Drosophila melanogaster: one gene and its partners. The protein of the gene in region 1 interacts with the protein of each later gene in a pairwise test. Each region holds a gene or a part of one and is shown on either strand. Other genes may lie near its edges.

Region 1 (7,228 bases):
TAAATACTGTTAGTGAATTTTCATACCTCTTTAATTTAATTGTACGCGCTTAACAAAAACAAAATCTACTAAAGGATAATCACAAATTGAGAAATTTTATCAGCAATTACCCGTTTTCGTTTGTTCCAAATCACATTTGCATATCCATAAAGCTGCTCAATTAAATATGAATAATACACACCGAGTGTTTCTTCAATATGTGGGTGAGTTTTGCAAACCCCGTTCAGACTACTGTGCCAAAAACTTGAGAACACCAAAATATAAGAGGAGTTTGTGAAAAATTAGAGATTCACCTTTAAGCGAACTGAAAAACTGTAAACTGAGCGATAGAAATTTATTATAGTGAATATATTTTATAAATCTACAACAAAGGGAAGGATCAAACGAAAAGAAATCTGTGACTGCTATTAATAAAGCCACAGCTGAGAATTATTCAAATACAATATTTAAACTAATAGATTTGCCCGCAATTAACCATAAACTAAATTTACAAGTTTGCTCAGTAATAATTCACTACTTGTTGAAATAATTATTAACAAATGTAATGTAAGTGTGGCTAAGTCCAATAGGCATGTATTCAAATTATGTTGACCACAAGGCTTCCTCGGGCACCCATGGGTCCGCTAAAGCTGTCTATTCATTCAGTTACACCCAATCGATTGATGACCTAGTAACGCATAAGTATTTTCTTTTAGTTCGAGCGCATTTAATGCAAACTTGTAGTCATTTTTCTTCTGTGTGTTTGTATTTAAACCACGATTACGTATATGTATGTTGTCGTGACATTTTTGAAACTAATAAACCCAATAAGCTTGTCAGAGCGAGAAATTTATGTGGATCAGATTTTTGATTAATGTGTGTACGCATGTCTAAAGAGTTTTGTGCGATGTATGTATTTAAATACATTATACTTACATATGCTAACATATAAGCCATTAATTTATGTAATAAAGTTGTGTATATCTAACTTAAAAATAATGCTATCCGAAAGAAGTTTATTCTCAATTCGTGGTAGCTCCAATTCTACTCGTATCCAATTACAAAAGCACAATTCACCATTCCGTACATATTTACAGCTCCTAATAGAATGAGGAGGGCATGCTAGTGTAAATTGGATATATGGCTAAGGCCAATCAGTTATCCGAAGTCTATGGATTTACGTTTTCCTGAGCCCCGAGCGCATCGTCTTGCAATTCACGCTCAATGTTGGCGTTGTTATTGTTCTCGGCGATTTCGTTGATATTGGAGTCGTCGTTGGCCTGGAAACGAGGTGGACGTTCCTCCCCCTGCTCCAGATCCTGCTGCTGCTCGTTAATACGGTTCTCAGTCTCCTCGATCGGCCTAGACGAGAGTCCTGGTGGTATTACCTCCAGCAAAGCCGGCTGCTCCTCGTGAACTAGTAGCTGTCTGTGTTCCATTATAGCCAGTTGCTGCTCCGAGAGCTCATGATTAAGCACATTTTGCTGCTCCTCGTCGGATGTGTAATTACTATCTATGATAGCTGCATCGCAAGGTGGCAAAGCAAGCGCTTCAGTATCTTTTGGAGCATCAAGCGACACTGTTGCTAAACAATATGCACTCCCTGCTGCCATTTCTGGTTTGTCCAGAGATTCCGATTCATCGTGTTGCGGTGGTGAATTACCTGGGGAGGGGTTTTCAGGTATAGGCGAAACACAGCTTCCACTTGGGAGGGATTCGTTTTGCTCTAAGACAACAGAAGGATTTTCTGTTCCCGCGGATTGACAGTCGACCTGAGCACGTGATTCCAGATAGGAGGCATCGTTTTCTATTGAATTATCCTCAGTTTCGCTATGGACATGAATCGGCAAAGATTCTGTGTTAAAGGTTTGGATCTGTGAAGCTGCGGGAGGGAGATCTTTAGTATCTGCTTGGGATTCGGACGAAGCTGCAGGCTGAGAGACAATGCAAGGATCGGGCTGGGATTGTGCGGCAATGGCAACTTGTGCAGAAGTTTGGAGGTCGTTTGCAGGAGACTGGACATTTTCCACTGTGTGGGAATGAGGTTCATTTGTAGTGCTGGGGCTTGGGCCTATTGAACATTCTATATCATTTGAGCATGCTGCAGATGGTTGCGGTACAGCTTGACTGCATATGTTGGTTATGACCAAACTAAAAGCAGAAGCTTCTGATTTTTCCACACCTAGCACGTCCCGAGTTTGCGAAGGAGTTTCACTGGCAGGCAATGCAGTGGATACCTCTGTATCCATTCTTTCCGATTCCAAATCTTTCCTAGATGACTCGTTTTGAAGTTCTAATGGTGGCAACTCTATTTCACGATATATGCGCTCTTCCGTGTCCCGCTCCATGGCTTCCTCAGCTTCATCGGCTGATGATGCACTGTCTTCATTTCCATCGTCATCGTCCTCATCACTCTTCTCCAATCCGTTTCTGTGCACGGCGTCTATCTCGCATATGTCCAACTCTCTTTCCTGTTTCACTGATACATCACTTAGATCTAAACTGCCTATGTATTCTTTCTCTTCTTCCATCATGTCATTATGATTAATCTCTTCTGTAGTTTCTCGTTGATCTTCTGGTTCTTCGTCTCCATATCCGAGATTTCTCGGTTCCGGCTTGATGGAAATCATGTTAAACGCCGACTCGCCGCTCACAACGGCAACAATCTGCGGCAAAGTGTTCGTCCTGGGTGGGCTATACGTTTTCCGTTCTGCACCTCCCGTACTTTTGCGCGCTGTGGACTTTACGGACTTCACCTTGTGCAGGGAGTCCTCGGGACAGGCTTCTTCAGCTCGTTCTAATGCCATTGCTTCTTCTGCCATATCCACGCCACTGGTCACATTAGAGATCTGCATCATACGATCAAGCTCCATGCGATTTGGCTTAACATCTTCCTGACTCTGAATCATGGCCTCATCGACTTCCTCACTTCGTTCGCTTTCGTTTAAGCTGCTTTCAAACTGAGTCATGGGAATAGTGGTCATGACAGTGGCCTCAGGAGCATAATCGACGGGTTCCTGTTTGATTTTAATGGCAGGTTGATTCTGAGATTCTGTTCGACAGTTTTCAGTCTCGTTCGACGCTTCCTTCTCCCGTTCCTTATGCTTTCTTTTCTTTTTCTTTTTGCTGCTTCTGCCAAACGCCTGTCCAGCTTCATCCAGATCGTCTATGAGAGAAGAGTTCAGCTTTCCATGGTTCTTCGTTATTTTAAGTTTTAGCTTCAGAGGCTCTTGCTTCACTCCCGTTTGCTTTTCATAGCCGTCATACTCGGGTTCCTGTTTAACAGATACACTGGGAATATCGTCACAGGCAGCAACAGAGATTTTATCGGATTCTGTTTCCGGTTGACATTCCTGACATTCGTCGTTAGCTGCCTGAATATCATCACCAAAACTTGGATGTTCTTCATTCCGTTCCGGCTCGGGATCACTCTCGGCTTGACCTCTAGGTGGCCCCGTGTCATTTATGTGCACTTCTGGCTCATGCTTAATGCTGACCAGAGTGTTAATCGTATTCTTCAGCAGCTGATCCACTCGTTTCAAATAATTCCTGGCAGAAACCCTATCGCTATTTTTGCTTTTGGCAGCAACCAGTTGATCGGTTCCAGACGAAGACCGCAGAAGTGGCGATGACAGGCGTTCCAGAACTACTACCGGTTGCATACCCTCGTCTATGACGAAATCCGGCGGCACTGTTGTGGCCGGCGGAAGACCTAGCAATTCCTCCTCGATCTCGTTCTTGATTAACATCTGCGCCTCATTGGTCACCACCTGGGGCATGATGTGCTTCGAGTGGTTGAGGTAAATCTTTGGGCAGGTTGGCGCATGACGCATATAGGCCGCTTCGGTGTTCAAGGTGCGACTGCAACCGCCGCACTTGCGTTTACGGATGGCACAGCGGTGAGTGTTGTAGAAGAAGTTCGTGACGAAAGTCTTCTTGCACAGCGGACACTCCCGATCCAGGACGAGCAGTTGGACGGGAGTGGGTGGTGTGTGTTCGCGCAAATGGCGCGTAAAAGCATACGCATTGGCTACGCTAGACTCGCACAGGGGACACTTGTAGGGAGTCTTGGAGAGCTTATGCCACAGCTGGTGGGCGCGTATGTCGCTCTGGTTGTGGTGCGTCTGGTTGCAGGCATTACATATGTATCGCGGTATCGATGGCACATGCACCAGGCTTTTATGCTCGTCGGCCAGCTCCTTGCTAAGGAACTTCTCGCCGCAAACGCTGCAAATAGACTTGCGACCGGCCTTTTTCGGTGGTCCCTTAAGACTGGTGTCCTGTTCAGCGGGCTCGTCTTTGCTGGGATAATAAAAATGGGAATTATTTACAAATAGAACAAGAGGAATGTATGTTATAGTTACATCTCCGGCTCTCTTTTGGACACTAAAGATGTTATCTGTGATGGCTGTAGTTTTTGCTTTTTGTGCCACACAAAGGACTCCTTTTTTACCTGTGGCTTGACATTGTTATTTTTTGGCCAGGATTCCTCGCCCTTGCGCTTCCTTCCCCGTTTTCCAACTGCACCAGATATTGGCCGTTCCTCCTTAACGATGCGCTTAAGATCAATTAACTGTGAGGCGTAAATAATACATTAGTTCGTATAATTATAAATTATAATATAGTTATTCGTTTTTCTCACTCTTGCGGGCTCTATTTGCTTCAATCCCAATAGATTTCGAGTCTGTTTATTCGTCGCATAGCACATTTCCCGAAACTCATAAAAATCATTGATTTTATCCACGCACTGGCTGCAAATTGTCTGCGGCATTTTGTCGTCCACGGACACCTGCAAAGGGCGTTGGTTAACTTGGCTATGAACATTTTTAAGAAAAACACCCACAGTGAAGCCCACCAGCTCGTAGATCTTCTGGGACATCCTAGGCTCGTCCAGGTCGATGGTGTCTTCTTCATTTGGCAAAAGTATTGGCACTTTTCCTGGATTATCGATGCCGCACAGACGACAGATCGTGCACAGATTCGCCTTGAGGGCAGCGTCGATCTTAAAAGCAAACCGATCCATTTCGGCCGGATCTTAAAATTTGTCTCGAAAGGCTTTATTCACCGGTAATTTAGCATGATTAAAGGTTTTATCTCCAGTTGAACTTGCATTTTGTTTATTCCAATACGCTTAGTGTTGGTCAGCGGCTAACAAGGTTGGTAGAAATCGATGTGCTATCGATAGGATCGAATTTTTTGCTTATCTCAAAATTAGCAAATTTGATTTTAAGTATAATTTTTGAAACTCGTTAAAAAAAATATTTAGCCAATAAAATCACATTATTGGCTATTTCTTATCACTAAATATAAAAAATTTGTCAAAAATTTTTATAAATAAATAATGTTATATAGTTGCAGAATAAATACTGAAACAAATTGTACGTCTTTACTAAAAAGATGTTTGTTTACTATTTTTACAAGTGGTGTTAAAAGCACTTCGTTTTCAGGGCTACACTATGAAATTGTATCATCGTAATTTCAGAATATATTGAATTGCAATAAGTGCTTTGGATGAAAAATACTTCAAGTTAATCATCGTACGGCGAAGCAAAAAGAATCGATTCCATTAATTTACAGAGTATTGTGCCAAAAAAGGATATTTTAAGTCCAGATGATTATCTACCATTGATGAATCTACCATTGTTCAACTTTCTTAATTCTTGATTGTTCAGTTGTAAAAAGAAATCGGTTACAAGCAGCACGGCGTTGCACCCCTGGTTTCAGAATAAACACAAGAAAGGCCACGGGGAAATTGCATCGCGGTGCCTGTGAAATCGCGAGAAGGCACACACCCATACACTCCTCTAGGTTTTCCGATCCACTTAAGAGATCCCAGAGCCCACACGATGGAGCGGTACTTGAGCCGCCGCGAAAGTGGCTTCCACATCCACCGGAGCGACGACAACTCCCTGATGCGGCGGATTTACAGCTCGATGAACATGTTTAATAGCTACCACGCCAACTGCTGGCCCACGGATGCGGGACGCACTGGGGCCATCTTCAACCTGGAGTTCAATGCCGATGGGAACGTTGTCGTGGCCGCCACGGAGAGGAAGTGCGTCCTCGTCTTCGATGCCATCACACAGAAGGAGATCTTTAAGGTACCGGACGCCCACACAGATAGTGTCAATTGCATCAAGTAAGTGTAGAAGTTGCCTTCGAGGAGGTTCGTTGCTAATCCTCGCTCCAGATTTTTTGACGAGCGCCTCTTCGCCACTGGTTCAGATGACTTTACTGTGGCACTGTGGGACCTGCGGAACATGAAGCAGAAGTTGCGCGTCCTCCACGGCCACTCCAACTGGGTGAAGAACATCGAGTACTCCTCCAAGGACAAGTTGCTCGTAAGCTCCGGCTTCGATGGCAGCATCTTCACTTGGGACATCAATTCGCAGACTGAACAGGGCCTTATCTCGCAGCGCGTATTTCATGCCAGTGGACTGATGCGCTGCAGGATTTCGCCCACGGGCGATAAGCTGGTTCTCTGCACAAGCGGTGGATACATTATGATTATCCATCACCTTGACCTCACCACGCTCCACAAAGATCTGTGCGGATTCAGGGTAAGAAAGTTTGTAAATATCGCTGTGATTTTCAGTTTGGTTCAAGATTTTAAGTTTCGTCCAGATATATGAAATGGTTACATATGTAGATAGATGGTCAACTAATAAGCCCGTTTGATTTTCCAGCCCGGTATCTACCGACTTATGCAGTTGGGCGAACAGTATATCCCGCAGGCCGCAAAGTACGATCATGTGTTCTCCAAGCGTCAAAAGAAGAACCGCGTGGAGCTGGTCACCGACTTTCCGGAGAACAACGACGCCGAGATGATCATGGCATTGCAGATTCACCCGCACTGTTGCTGCATGCTGACGAGGAACGTCAGCTGCGACGAGCAGAGCGAGTGGACCTGCATCCACGACATCAACGAGGAGCCGGTGCGCAGCGAGGATGAGCAGGACGAGGTGGAGCCACAGCCCAAGAGAAAGCGAGTGTCCACCACACTAGCCAGCCGCAGCTCGTTGAATGAATCCCAGGACCAGGATACGGTTGGCCTTACTCCCAGACAGGCACGGAGACCGTTGCGGGTCAGCAGTGTACAAGTATTCCAACTGGATAACTCTGGAGCAGGGCGTGGCGCCTCTGACAACCCTTCAGTCTTGACACGCTCGGATTCCTTCATACCGGACATCTGGGCGGCGGAGGTCACAGTCCAGGAGCGGGCCATCCGACAGAACCGTGCACGCGTCTC
Region 2 (6,304 bases), about 11 Mb from region 1:
ATGACATGCCCATGCCCCAGCTGGAGAAATACTTGGAGAAATCTATACGTAAAATGATGGCCGACAAGCACGAGATGCAGATGATGTGCGGCTTCCTGGAGGCAGAGTCCACGCGCCTGGAGAATGCCTTGGAGGAGCAGCGAAACATTAGCTTCGAGTTAAACGAGTCTAGTGTGTGTTCCGAGTGCAAGAAGCGTTTTCAAACCCAGTCCGCCTTCGTGCGCTATCCAAATGGGCACATCGTGCACCTATCCTGCCACGATCGGCTCGCCAGGGCGGCTGCTCAGCAATAAGTGAAATACTCCAATGTGATAACTGATCAAGGTATAAAGTGCGAATTGAGTGTAAATGTCTGTATTATTCTGTTTTTAAATAAGCTTTTTCAGTACTCGTATGTAATGGATATACTGCAATGCTTATACAATATAATATAGTTTGCATTGATTGATTGTAACAATCAACTTGCAGCTAATCATCAACAATTAAAGACAAGCAGAAGTATAGAAAACCGATATTGTACATATTTATTTGACTATATTTACAGGAAACTTGCTTTGCACTGGCGTGGTTTTTAGGCCTCCTCGCTGCCGTCCATGAGGCTGTCGCCGTCCAGGGAATCGTTACAGATGGACAAATCCGACTCGGACTGCGCTCGACTCAACGGCGGTAATGCGCCCGAAAGCGACAGCGAGTGCTTGCTATCCTCGTTGTCCTCCTCCTGCAGGCTGGGCGAGGCTGCACTGCATCCGTTTGTGCGTTCCGTGGACACAGAATGGGCCGCATTGGCCGACACGGATACTTGATTGCCCAATAACGATGTACCTGGCAGTTGAGTTTGCCTTATCAATGCCAGCCGTTGTTGTGTCAGTTCCAAGTGGTGCTTGCGCCACTTGATCCGCCTATTCTGGAACCACACCTTCACCTGAGCCTCCGTTAACTTTAGGGTGTGTGCCAAGTAGAGCCGCTCCGGGCCGACCATGTACTGCTGGCGCTCGAACTCCGCCTCCAGGCACTCCAACTGCTCCGGCGTGAAGATTGTCCGGACGCGCTTGTTCTTCAGTGCGCTCTTCTTGTGAGAATCTGCCGAATCACAAAATGATGATCAAATGGAGGTATTAGATGTGCACACACTATGTTTACTTAATACCCACTTATGATCAAATCATGGGTTATTCATCGACTGAAACACCTGCTTACCCGACTTGAGTTTTTCCCGCTGAAAGCTCAGGGTGGCCTGCTGCTGAGCGTGGTGTTGCTGGTGGAGCTGCTGCAGGCTCTGCAGGGCGGAGGGAGCTGCTCCGACGGCGGCGGCAACCGCTGCAAATCCCGCCTGGTGCGGATGCGGATGCTGGTGTCCGCCGTGCAGGTAACGTCCATTACCGGCGACACTATCACAATTGAAGTTGTTTACACTCGGGCTGCTGTTGTTGTTGCCACTGTTGCTGCCGCCGTTATTGTTGTTGTTGTTGTTGTTGTTGGGGTTGCTCGTGTAGCACTTGTTGTTGTCGTCACCGATGATGTTGTTGTTGTCGTGCAGGGAGAGATTGATGGCATTGTTGTAGTCCTTGCGCTGGCTCTGCAGGCCCAAAATGGCGGCGATGGTAAAGGACTTGCCCACGTCGAGGGAGGAATGCGCCGCTGCCGCCTCGATGAGCTGCGCGTGCGACGTCGCAGTGGCTGCCGCCGCCGCCAACTGTTCCCGGTGGTTGCTGTTGCTGTTGTGGCTGCTGCTGTTGCTGCTGCTACTGCTGTTGTTGTTGTTGTTGCCGGTGGTGGGTGTCGGTGGGTGTGGGTGGTGGCCATCCTGGTGGTGGGTGTGCAGCTGCTGATGATGATGATGTTGCTGCTGCTGCTGCTGCTGCTGCAACTGATGATGCTGCTGCTGGTGCTCCATTTGGTATGAACTCTGACCCGCCGAGACAGCGACCGCCGCTGCTGCAGCCGCTGCCAGCGCTGCATGATGCGGTTGACCATGTGCATGAATGCCCCCACCCAAACCTCCAAGTCCGGCGACCGACGATCCCCCGCCGCTGCCGCCGCCACTGGCTTGTGTGTTATGCAATGCCAGGAAGTGCGACAAGGGATTTGCGTGATATTTGGAAGGATTCTGCAGCATGCTTAGGTATTTGCCACTGTCTCCGAGTTGTCGTCCGCCTTCTGCCGCTGGCCTCCGGGATTCTCGGTCGCTCTGCAAATGGGAGAAATGCCTCTGTTTAATTGTTGCTCTGCTGTGGAGCTTCTGTGGCTGCCAGGTGTCAACGACTCCCCGATTAAATCCACAATTAAGTGAAATGTGATCGCTGGCTGAAGAAGTTGCTCTACCATGAAGTGCTTGGTCAGCTCAGCTAAGTGGTGGGAGATGGAACAATGGAACTACAACTGGTTGGGACGGACCTTTTGATGACTTTCCCTACACAATGACAATTTTGGAACTGAAGTATTACTAACTTAATATAAGTAGAAACAACAGTATCTAAGGTTAACAATACCAATATTTCTAGTTTACAATCGTCTATAAACATGGTCCTATCAAATTAGATATTAAAATAAGAACAATATCTTTAATTATAAGAAGTAAATTTTCTTTTAAAGGATCTTTAATATTTTTAATCAACAGAGGAATCTGCAACTTTTGCATATAAGTTAGAATTATAACTCTATATTTCAATGTTAAAATGGATCCTTTTTGTACATTATTTCTGGCATTCATTACAAGGGTTAAAATTTTATAATATCAGCTTATGTAGAATAATTTTGAAAAGTGTATAATTTGCTTAATGCCAGCTTCTCTCGCTCGCATGCATTGTGTTTGCCCAGGTAAGCCAAACCTGAATCGTTTTGTGGCAATGTGATAGCCTAATTGAGACTTTGTCACAGTTGCTGCTTCATTGTGGCAGATGTAGTTGCTCTCCCAGGTGAAGCACCATCCCAAGTCCTCAGCACTGTTGTCGCTCATTGTTTGTGCTTTAGGCCAAATATGCGAATGTCTCAAGCTGCATTTAAGCTGATTTGACTAAATATGCGAGGCTAATGTCGTGTGCGGGCCAAATGAGCTTCATTAGGAGAATGCCATTTGGGTGTAACAAGTGGATTTCACACACATTCCGGCTGTGAATTTCTAGCTACATTAATTGTGGAGCTTAGATCCTGAGAGAAAAGCTAGTATGTTATCCTATTTTGTATCTTTCTAATCACTCATGTTCATTTATCAGTCTTTGTTCAATTTGAAAAAAATTAATAACGATAAGAAACTTGTAAAAACATATAAGCACTTTAAATCAAATTTAAGCTATCATCTGAGCTATCATAAATATGATTTTGTATTGAAAATTTTAGGTATTTATCTTATTGAAACATACAGATTTTAGCTGAATGATAAATTTTTAGAGAATCCGTTATAAAATTTTAAGCATTGAATGCATTTTAAAATATTGGGCATAATAAATTATACATTATTGCTATGTTTACAAGCTCAACGCTGGTAAATCTCAAATAATTCTTTTAATGGCATATCCAAAATCAGAAATCTTTTTTAGTAATCTTGAATTAAAAAGCCGACGGAACTCGATTTGGGCCAAAAATTCTTATAAATTGCAAAAGTTACAAACCTTCTAAACCAATGAAGTTCTAATTACATTGATTTCAATTGCAGATGTAATCAACTCAAAAGATAATCCAAGCGTGAGTTAATCAGTTTTCAGTACTTTCACTATTATTTTCACGAACACAGTTTTCAATCTGAAAAATTTGCTTTTCCGACGGCACTGCAAAAAGTGTTGCCTACAGTTCTGCGCCCAACGGCAGTAACGGAAATCGAATAGAAAATCGAGCGGAAGTTTAACTGCCGGAAACACATGCGAACGCGAACGTGTTGCAAACTGAACTGAACTAAAAGTTCGTGGCCGTAAAATTTTTACATTATCGGCAGCGAACGCCGGCAGCGAAGCTGGCAGCGCTGCTTTCTGTTTGCTGCGGTGCGCTTGTTTGTGTCTGTGTGCGGGTGAGTGATTCTTTTTGTGGGTGTGCGTGAGTTGCCGTTGTGATTTTTCTATCCGCTTTTCCTTTGGCTTTTTTTTGCTCTCAACCAGGGTTGTCAAAACTTTCACTAATAGTATTCATTAACTAGTAATTAAGTGCTTTGAACTTTGTTCGTTTTCATGAATACATTTAATTTTTTGTGCTAACGAAAACAGAATTAAATTTAAATGAAAAATTGTTTTAAATAATCTTGGTATCTTGGTTTTTGACACAATTATGTACATACCTAATTTTTTATAATTAAATTTGTTACAATTATTTGTACCTTAATTTAGTTTAAATCTATTATGTTCCTAAGCATTTGAACGATTAAAGTGTACATTTAGAAAGTCTCTCTATTATACATTCATATATATGATATTTTAAAACATATTGGTACAACACATCCGAAAGATATAGATTTATTATTTGTCTTTTAAAAGCAATATCTTCAAAACAGCAAAGCGTTAAAATCTCCTTTTTAGACTTTCGCCCATGACTTTGTTTTGCTACAGTTGACAACCCTGCACTCAGCTTAGATCAGAGCCATTGAAAGAGCCAACAAAGGAAAGAAGGAGATGAGATGTAGCTGAGGCATAAAAACATCGTCAACCGAAGCCTCATCATCATCATCGTCATCATAATCATCGTTGATAGTCATCGTCATTATTCAGGAGCATCCACCAGGCAGTTACATAAAAAGGAATCACCCACCAAAGGGAGCAATCCACCACCAGCCACCCGAGCCACCCACCTATCAGAGCAACCCTGCCCACACACCCATTGGTAAACACCCGTTTCCCTTCCGAGGGCGAGTGTATAAAAAGTTATTGAAATTATGATATAAATGGATAATTGGCTCACTGGTAGCGTCTCCCTCGCTCATGGCAAATGGGCGGTACCTAAGCAGTCGGAAAATATTGCGGGACAATATGGCGACGCTGGATTATTAATATTTTGTGAATAGGTGGAAAAGCCACTGGGGCAGGGCTATGTGGGGATAGACATAATTAATGAAGCAATAAGCTAAGAAATTACATCGTAGATACATCATAAGTATAAATATCTAAATTTGGACAGGTAAAATCGACAAAACAACGCACATTAATAATTTGTTTTAAATCTTAATTTAGTTAAATTTTCACTGTATACAACATGATATTCAATGTCGAAGTGCAATTCAGAGTCGAATTACCTTTAGATTTAGTATTTCAGTTTACGACTTATCAGTAAATAAACTTTGTCAATTTCATTTTATGGTCCTTTTTGGCCGATGTTAGTAGTATTAAGTCTTGGAAACGTTTTTGGCCCAAATCCCCAAACTAAGTTGGCAATACGAACTATCTACAGCCGCAGGTCAACCCCAAACCCAACCCCAATTAGCCGTCCCCTTGGCTCCACCCTTTTGCCTGCCAAACGGGTGTTCAATTTACCGTTTGATAAACTACCCGGAATGCCAACGATCATTACGAGCCAGCGAAACTGGCGGAAACGGAAATGGAAAGACGAAGGAGGCCCCAATTAGCGGCCCATCAAAGTAAATCAATGCAAGAGCACGTGGAGCGGGCAGACAAGGAAAATGCCAAAAAAGAACAAAGCAAATGGCGAGTTTACACACAAAAAAATAAAACAAATGTAATCCGTTAGCTTTGAAGAAACTTTAAATGTATGTACATAAAATATAGTAAAAGTAGTAGATGATTTTTCACTGCAAGAATTTGCTTGCTATGCAGTTGCAATCGTCATAACATTTAAAACGATTTAATTTGGGTAAATCGACCAAGCTTACGGTATTTAAAGAAAATAAAAACCAAATTGTTACAAATTGCCTTGTTCCCTCAATGTCCAACTTTCGTCTCATCTTTCAAAAAACCAAAGAGGGACAAATTCTAAAATCACAGCCAGGAATTTGCAGCCAAAAAAGGGCAAACGGAGAGGTGGAATTGGGAACTGGAGCTTGGCAACGAGCTGGGGATGGAGAGGATCCTTTCGGGTGCTTCGGCGTCACGTTTGTCGTTTCAATCATCATTAGTGCTAATGTACCCACAAGAATTGGCCAGCCACTTGGCGCCGACGCTGACGTCGACGCAGGCGTCGGCATTTAGCAATGGCGGCCGCAGCAGAGCGAAAGAGAGTGGTGCCAGAAGAAGAGAGAGAGAGAGTGAGCGGAAAATCAGTTTTAACTAACAGAATACACATATGCTTACATACATATATAAATACTTTTTATATACCCACATATTTTATTTTCCATTTATTTACCACAATTTTAATATTTTTTCGAGGT
Region 3 (5,183 bases), on another chromosome or scaffold:
CGATGGAAACTGGGGACTAGAACTTGTACTGGAAGGACTTGGGTGCCTTGTACTTGCTGGCCATTCCCGAAGAGTCCACAGGATCGCTCTGGTCGAGGAACAGACTGAGGAACTGTTCGTTCTGCAGCTCATTTAGCGGCATCTCTAATTCACTGCAGGATTTGACAATCTCAGCGCAGGCTCGCAGATCCTTGCGCATATCTAAAAACGAAACGGGAGTTACATAATATTCGGTTGTGTTGCACAGACTCACATTGATAGTTAAAGAGCAAGCTGAGGCAGCTGGAGCAGGCCAAACGCTGCTGGTGCTGCAAGAACGCCTCGATTAGCCGATGCACCGCATCAACATTGTTACGGGCCAGAAATGAAGAGCACAAAGAACTGGCTCTGCAAGGAAGGTTACATTGGGATTCAAATTTCGGGTTTTTAAAGAAATTAAAGCGACTTACCTCCTCTCCACTAGCTCTTGCAGCTCCTTGTAGTGCTCAAACAGTTCCGAAGCCGATTTTTGATCGCAAAACCAATCGCTAGCGAAGCATTGCTTCCACACACAGGCCACCACAAAGATGTCCTTGTGCTCGCGGTGAATGGCACGCGCTACCTCCAGCAGCGACACTAGCACCGCCTCACTCTTCTGGGCCAGAGTCTCCTCGGAAATGGTGCGGAATGCGGAGCGCGCCATCCGCCTGCCCTCCTCCGAAGTCATGCTTACCCCGTAACCGCGATGTAGCGTCATCAGGGCCACGTCGGCGTTACCATTGTTCCACAGGGCGATGGCGCGGAAGGGCGCCAGATCCGCGTAGGTCTGTGAGAACGGGTGCTCCAGCTGCCGACAGGTCTCCGCCAGTGCCTCCAACTGCTGGAGCTTGCGCTGCGCGCTCAAATACTTTAGACAGGACACGAAGACCTCGTTGGAGGGCAACAGGTTGCAGCGGATGCACTGACGTATCAGGTAGAGAAAGTCCAGCTTGTTCTTGATCTCCAACGTGGCCATCAGCAGGTTGTCCAGCTGCGCCTGCGACAGGGATCTGATATCCAGTCCCAGTTGGGGGGAGCGCAGCGCCTTCAGATCACTCATCATGCCCTTGGACATAAGACCCACGTTCTGGCTAAAGCTGGTACTACCAGCCTTTCGCTGCGTTCCCACATTGCAATTGGCGTCCGCCTCCAGATTTCCGGACGATGGCCTCTTTATCAGGCTATCGCGCAGCTCCTCCCACTTTTGGGTCTTTCTGGTCACCAAGTCGTTGGTGAAACAGTCCATGGGATCGAGATGTGTGGACTTCCGACGTTGCCGCTGCGTTCCCGGCCACAAGAAGGCCGAGATGTAGTTTTGGAAACGCTGCAGGCCCTTGGGTGAACCGGGTGCTCCGGCCACCGTGGTGGTGCCGCTGCTGGTCAATCGCGTCAGCATGGCCATGACTTGGGGTCACCTCCGCGTCCTCCGCTCTTCTAGACACGCCTCCTTTGCCCCGTTTTTGTCTCGGATTGTATAAGTTGTGTATATTTTTTGTTTTCAACAGTGTTACCGTCGCTGATCCGTGTGAAAATGCCATCGAGGAATACCATTATTACGAATCATAGCAAGTTGTTACTGAAATAAACTCAGATACTTTGTTTCACAAATGTTTAAAAATGGAATGCTGCATATAATTACAAACTTACTTTTAAGTAGAGTCATTTAAAAATCCATAAATTTGTATGTAAATTTAAAGTTACCCCTACGTGGCAGCTCCTGTTGCCTATAGTTGGCAACGCGAGTTCACCCAATCCAGCAGTCCGGCAACGCTTCCAGTTAGCCAAAAATTGATTTCATTTGCAAGAAAACTTTAAAACGCAAATGAAATGGCCAGCGATATTCCACCTTCAGCCATCCGTATTTGGATGGACAAGCTGAAAAAGGGCGTTGGGCAGCCGGCGACAGTCCTAGAGCGTTCCCTGCTCAATTTAATGAGTGCAGGTAAGTGAACCATTGAATGTCCAATCCATAACGTTTGTCTCAAACATCTAAAAATCCAACTTCAGAAGCAGCCAGTTTATCGGTGAAAAATGCCACGGAGCGAGGCATACTGGTGGCCAGAGCAGGCGGCGGACGGTCCAAGCGTCTGGCCCTCGCCTTTTGTCAAAAAGTAAGCCGGCTGCCCAGCTCACCAATTGATCCGTTCTGCTTCGAGTGCCATTTGCCCGGAGCCGTTAAGAAATGCATATCCTGCCATCGCTCCTTCCACGAGAATTGCCAGCGACAGGACCCGGAGAAGCCCAATTATTCAGTGCCCTCGGACAAGGGCCAACCTTACCAGTTTCCCGTCAACGAATTGGACAATCAGCCCCTGAATAACACTCAGAACTTGGAGACTCCCCAAACGCCAACGCCCCTGCTCGATCATAATAGCAACATCAATCAGACTTTGCTAGCCACTACGGATTTCCTGAAGCACGAGAACATCGAGTGGGACGACGACGTCTTCTTTGTGTGCGAACAAAAGGGCGCGCGCCAGCGAAAGCTGCCCAGGATCAAGGACGAACTACAAAGCAGTTTGGATAGCGATGAGGGAAGCGATCTGGAGCGCTGCACCCACTGCCGTTTGCTCGCCCTGGCCGCTCTCCACAACCCACCGCAACTCGACAAGCAAGAGCTGGGCTGCCTATTGAAGTACTCCTGGGACCAGCATCACTCCTGGATCTCCATGGATGTGGCCAAGTACATGGCCAAGCATTGGAACGAACGCGACAAGGCGCTGGTTAAGCGGCTACTCTTCAAGACAAAGATTTTGGGTCTGGGCGACATCGAGCGCAACATAGCGGCGGCGAAGTATACGTACCTAACAGAATTCCTAATGGATCTGCTCGATCTGCAGCACAACATGGCCGTGTTCTTTGGGCAAAAGAGCGTTGAGTACAATGCCACCAAGTGGCTGATGAGAGATGTGACGCACGACATTCGCGAAATCCGTCGTTGCCCCGACTGCTATAGGTATTCCAACGAGGCCAGCCTGTCGGATCTCTGGTTCGCCAAGCCATGTCTTCAGCGGCACGAGTTGGTATTTGCCAAGCAGGTGGGCTCACCACCGTGGCCTGCAAAGGTACGTACGATATTATCATTACTATGTAATATATACACATAAATATAATTTCTTTACCAGGTGATGAGCGTCTCCAAGCGTCAGCCCATCAAGTACGACGTCCGCTTCTTCGGTGGCACTCATTCCCGGGCCCTCATCTCAGAACGTGATATTACACCCATCGAGTCGGACATTCAGTCGCATATCAAACCACGGAACTCCCGAGCTCTGAGCGCTGCGATAAAAGAACTGCAGTGTCACATGATGTTGTCCCACTATTCCGCCTCGCTATTCGGCTTCCATGCAGATCCCACCGTTGCCGAGAATCTCATTAAGGTGGCTCTATCCCACTGCACGGAGTCAACGGAAACGAGTGCGTCCGGCAAACGAGGACGCCCGCCGACTCCAGCCACTCCCGGCGCTGCAAAGAATCGACGGCTTAATAACACCACTTCGAATACCTCATCGCCGGTGCCCATTCGTGGGATTCCTGACTCCGTAGCATATGATAGTCTAACCGCCGAAATACTGCAGGCGCATAACGATCTGCTAAATTGCCGAAGAGAGCTCTCGGCCACGCAAAGGAAGCTGGCCGAAGTGAAAAGGAAGCAATGGTGCTACCATTGCCTGGATGAGGCCGTTTTTAACTGCTGCTTTACTGCGTCCTACTGCAGCGTTGAATGCCAGCGACGTGATAAGAGACGCCACCAAGCATCCTGCAAAGTTACTCATTAAATTAGGACTACAGACGAAATTGGAAACTATGTCCAAAGTGATAACATCTCGTTTGTTACCATCCTTTTGTATCAAATGTATCCGTTCTTAAGATATGCATCAATATTTTCAGAAGATAAAGAATGTTAAACTTGTATTAATGAAAAATATTATCAATGAGATATTTGAAAATGGCGCCTTTTCCGTTCTTATGATGGGCAGCACTGTTTCCGCTAGGTGTCGCCACCTGATCATATTAATCCATATTCATATTACGTTTATAAAAAATCAGAAAAAACGTACAATACTTTAAAAGTGTGGGCGTGGAACTTACTTGTACTTGTTACTAACAATATAAAAACTTGTTTCCTACCAAAAAATATATACATATTTTATAAGAATGGGTATTATTTCGTGCCAGCTGTATTCATAATAATAAACACAAATTATTGTTCATCCACAATATTTTCGTGGCATACTTAAATAATTACAATTGAAACACATGGAAAACTTTAATGACAGTTTCTTTCTCGATAAAACCAATCGATTTTGAATAGTATCTCATTAAATTCATGGTTTTTAACTGCTCTAATTTTAAATGGTTTTATTCGATTTATCAATATTTAAACCATGAGCAAGATCTGTTTTCCCGCAGTCGTCTTGCACAGCCATACTTATAAAAAAGGTTCCCAATTTATCTATTTAAAAAAGTGCGCAAGAAACATATACCAAATAAGCGAATCACTAAAGTGAATAGTTAAGTTTATACCTTAAAAAGGAAACAAGAAAGCAAGTCAAAAGTATTATTATTTTAAAAAGAATCGAAGGCCTTTGTACTGTGTATAACTAAAAGGAAATAATGGCAATCAAGCTGAAATTGTGCGTCGCTTTTCAGTTGATTTGTATTTATTATCTCACAGAGGTAACGAATTATTATAACTGAAATGTCATATTTTAAAAGCTTCTTTTAGGTTTATTCCCTAGTGGAATTTACAAACGTACAGTGCGAGACCTTGGATAAGGACTTTTCCCTATTTGAATATTGCTATCTTTAATCTGTGAACCGATCTTACAAATATGTTTCCCTCAAAGTTAAACTACTAAAGATACCCGTAACCAAAATTAAGGTATAATTTAGTAAACTTATATTTATACCTAAGCGATTATAATAAGTTACTGTTTTTTAATTCAGGTGCAATTTGGTCTCTATAAACGTTTGAATGGCTATAAGCCTTTTCTCTACAATATGACTCTTGACGGGTGCAGATTTCTAAAATCTAGAAATCCCAATCCGATTGCTCTGTATTTTTACAATCTCTTTAAAGATTATTCCAACATAAACCACACCTGTCCTTATAACGTAAGTATACCCGAAGTTGTTAAAGTGAATATTCATATTACATTCAT

What was found.
Region 2: the proteins of CG1647 (region 1) and CG18599 interact in a two-hybrid assay, tested with the Drosophila melanogaster proteins (one large-scale study listed by BioGRID).
Region 3: the proteins of CG1647 (region 1) and CG8569 interact in a two-hybrid assay, tested with the Drosophila melanogaster proteins (one large-scale study listed by BioGRID).

The regions. Positions count from the first base shown.
Region 1 is NT_033777.3:28,818,112-28,825,339, reverse strand, and holds CG1647 (uncharacterized protein), read right to left. Parts: upstream 5,120-7,228; 5' UTR 5,003-5,119; coding exon 4,823-5,002; intron 4,769-4,822; coding exon 4,622-4,768; intron 4,553-4,621; coding exon 4,344-4,552; intron 4,282-4,343; coding exon 1,149-4,281; 3' UTR 832-1,148; downstream 1-831. Other genes in the region: CG1523 (uncharacterized protein), read left to right, coding at 5,826-6,118, 6,170-6,539, 6,666-7,228.
Region 2 is NT_033777.3:18,265,369-18,271,672, reverse strand, and holds CG18599 (uncharacterized protein), read right to left. Parts: upstream 3,885-6,304; 5' UTR 3,609-3,884; intron 2,189-3,608; 5' UTR 2,117-2,188; coding exon 1,198-2,116; intron 1,081-1,197; coding exon 572-1,080; 3' UTR 501-571; downstream 1-500. Other genes in the region: Vps39 (vacuolar protein sorting 39), read left to right, coding at 1-293.
Region 3 is NT_033778.4:12,517,388-12,522,570, forward strand, and holds CG8569 (uncharacterized protein), read left to right. Parts: upstream 1-1,778; 5' UTR 1,779-1,845; coding exon 1,846-1,960; intron 1,961-2,025; coding exon 2,026-3,083; intron 3,084-3,143; coding exon 3,144-3,797; 3' UTR 3,798-4,237; downstream 4,238-5,183. Other genes in the region: CG8818 (uncharacterized protein), read right to left, coding at 17-201, 254-387, 450-1,420.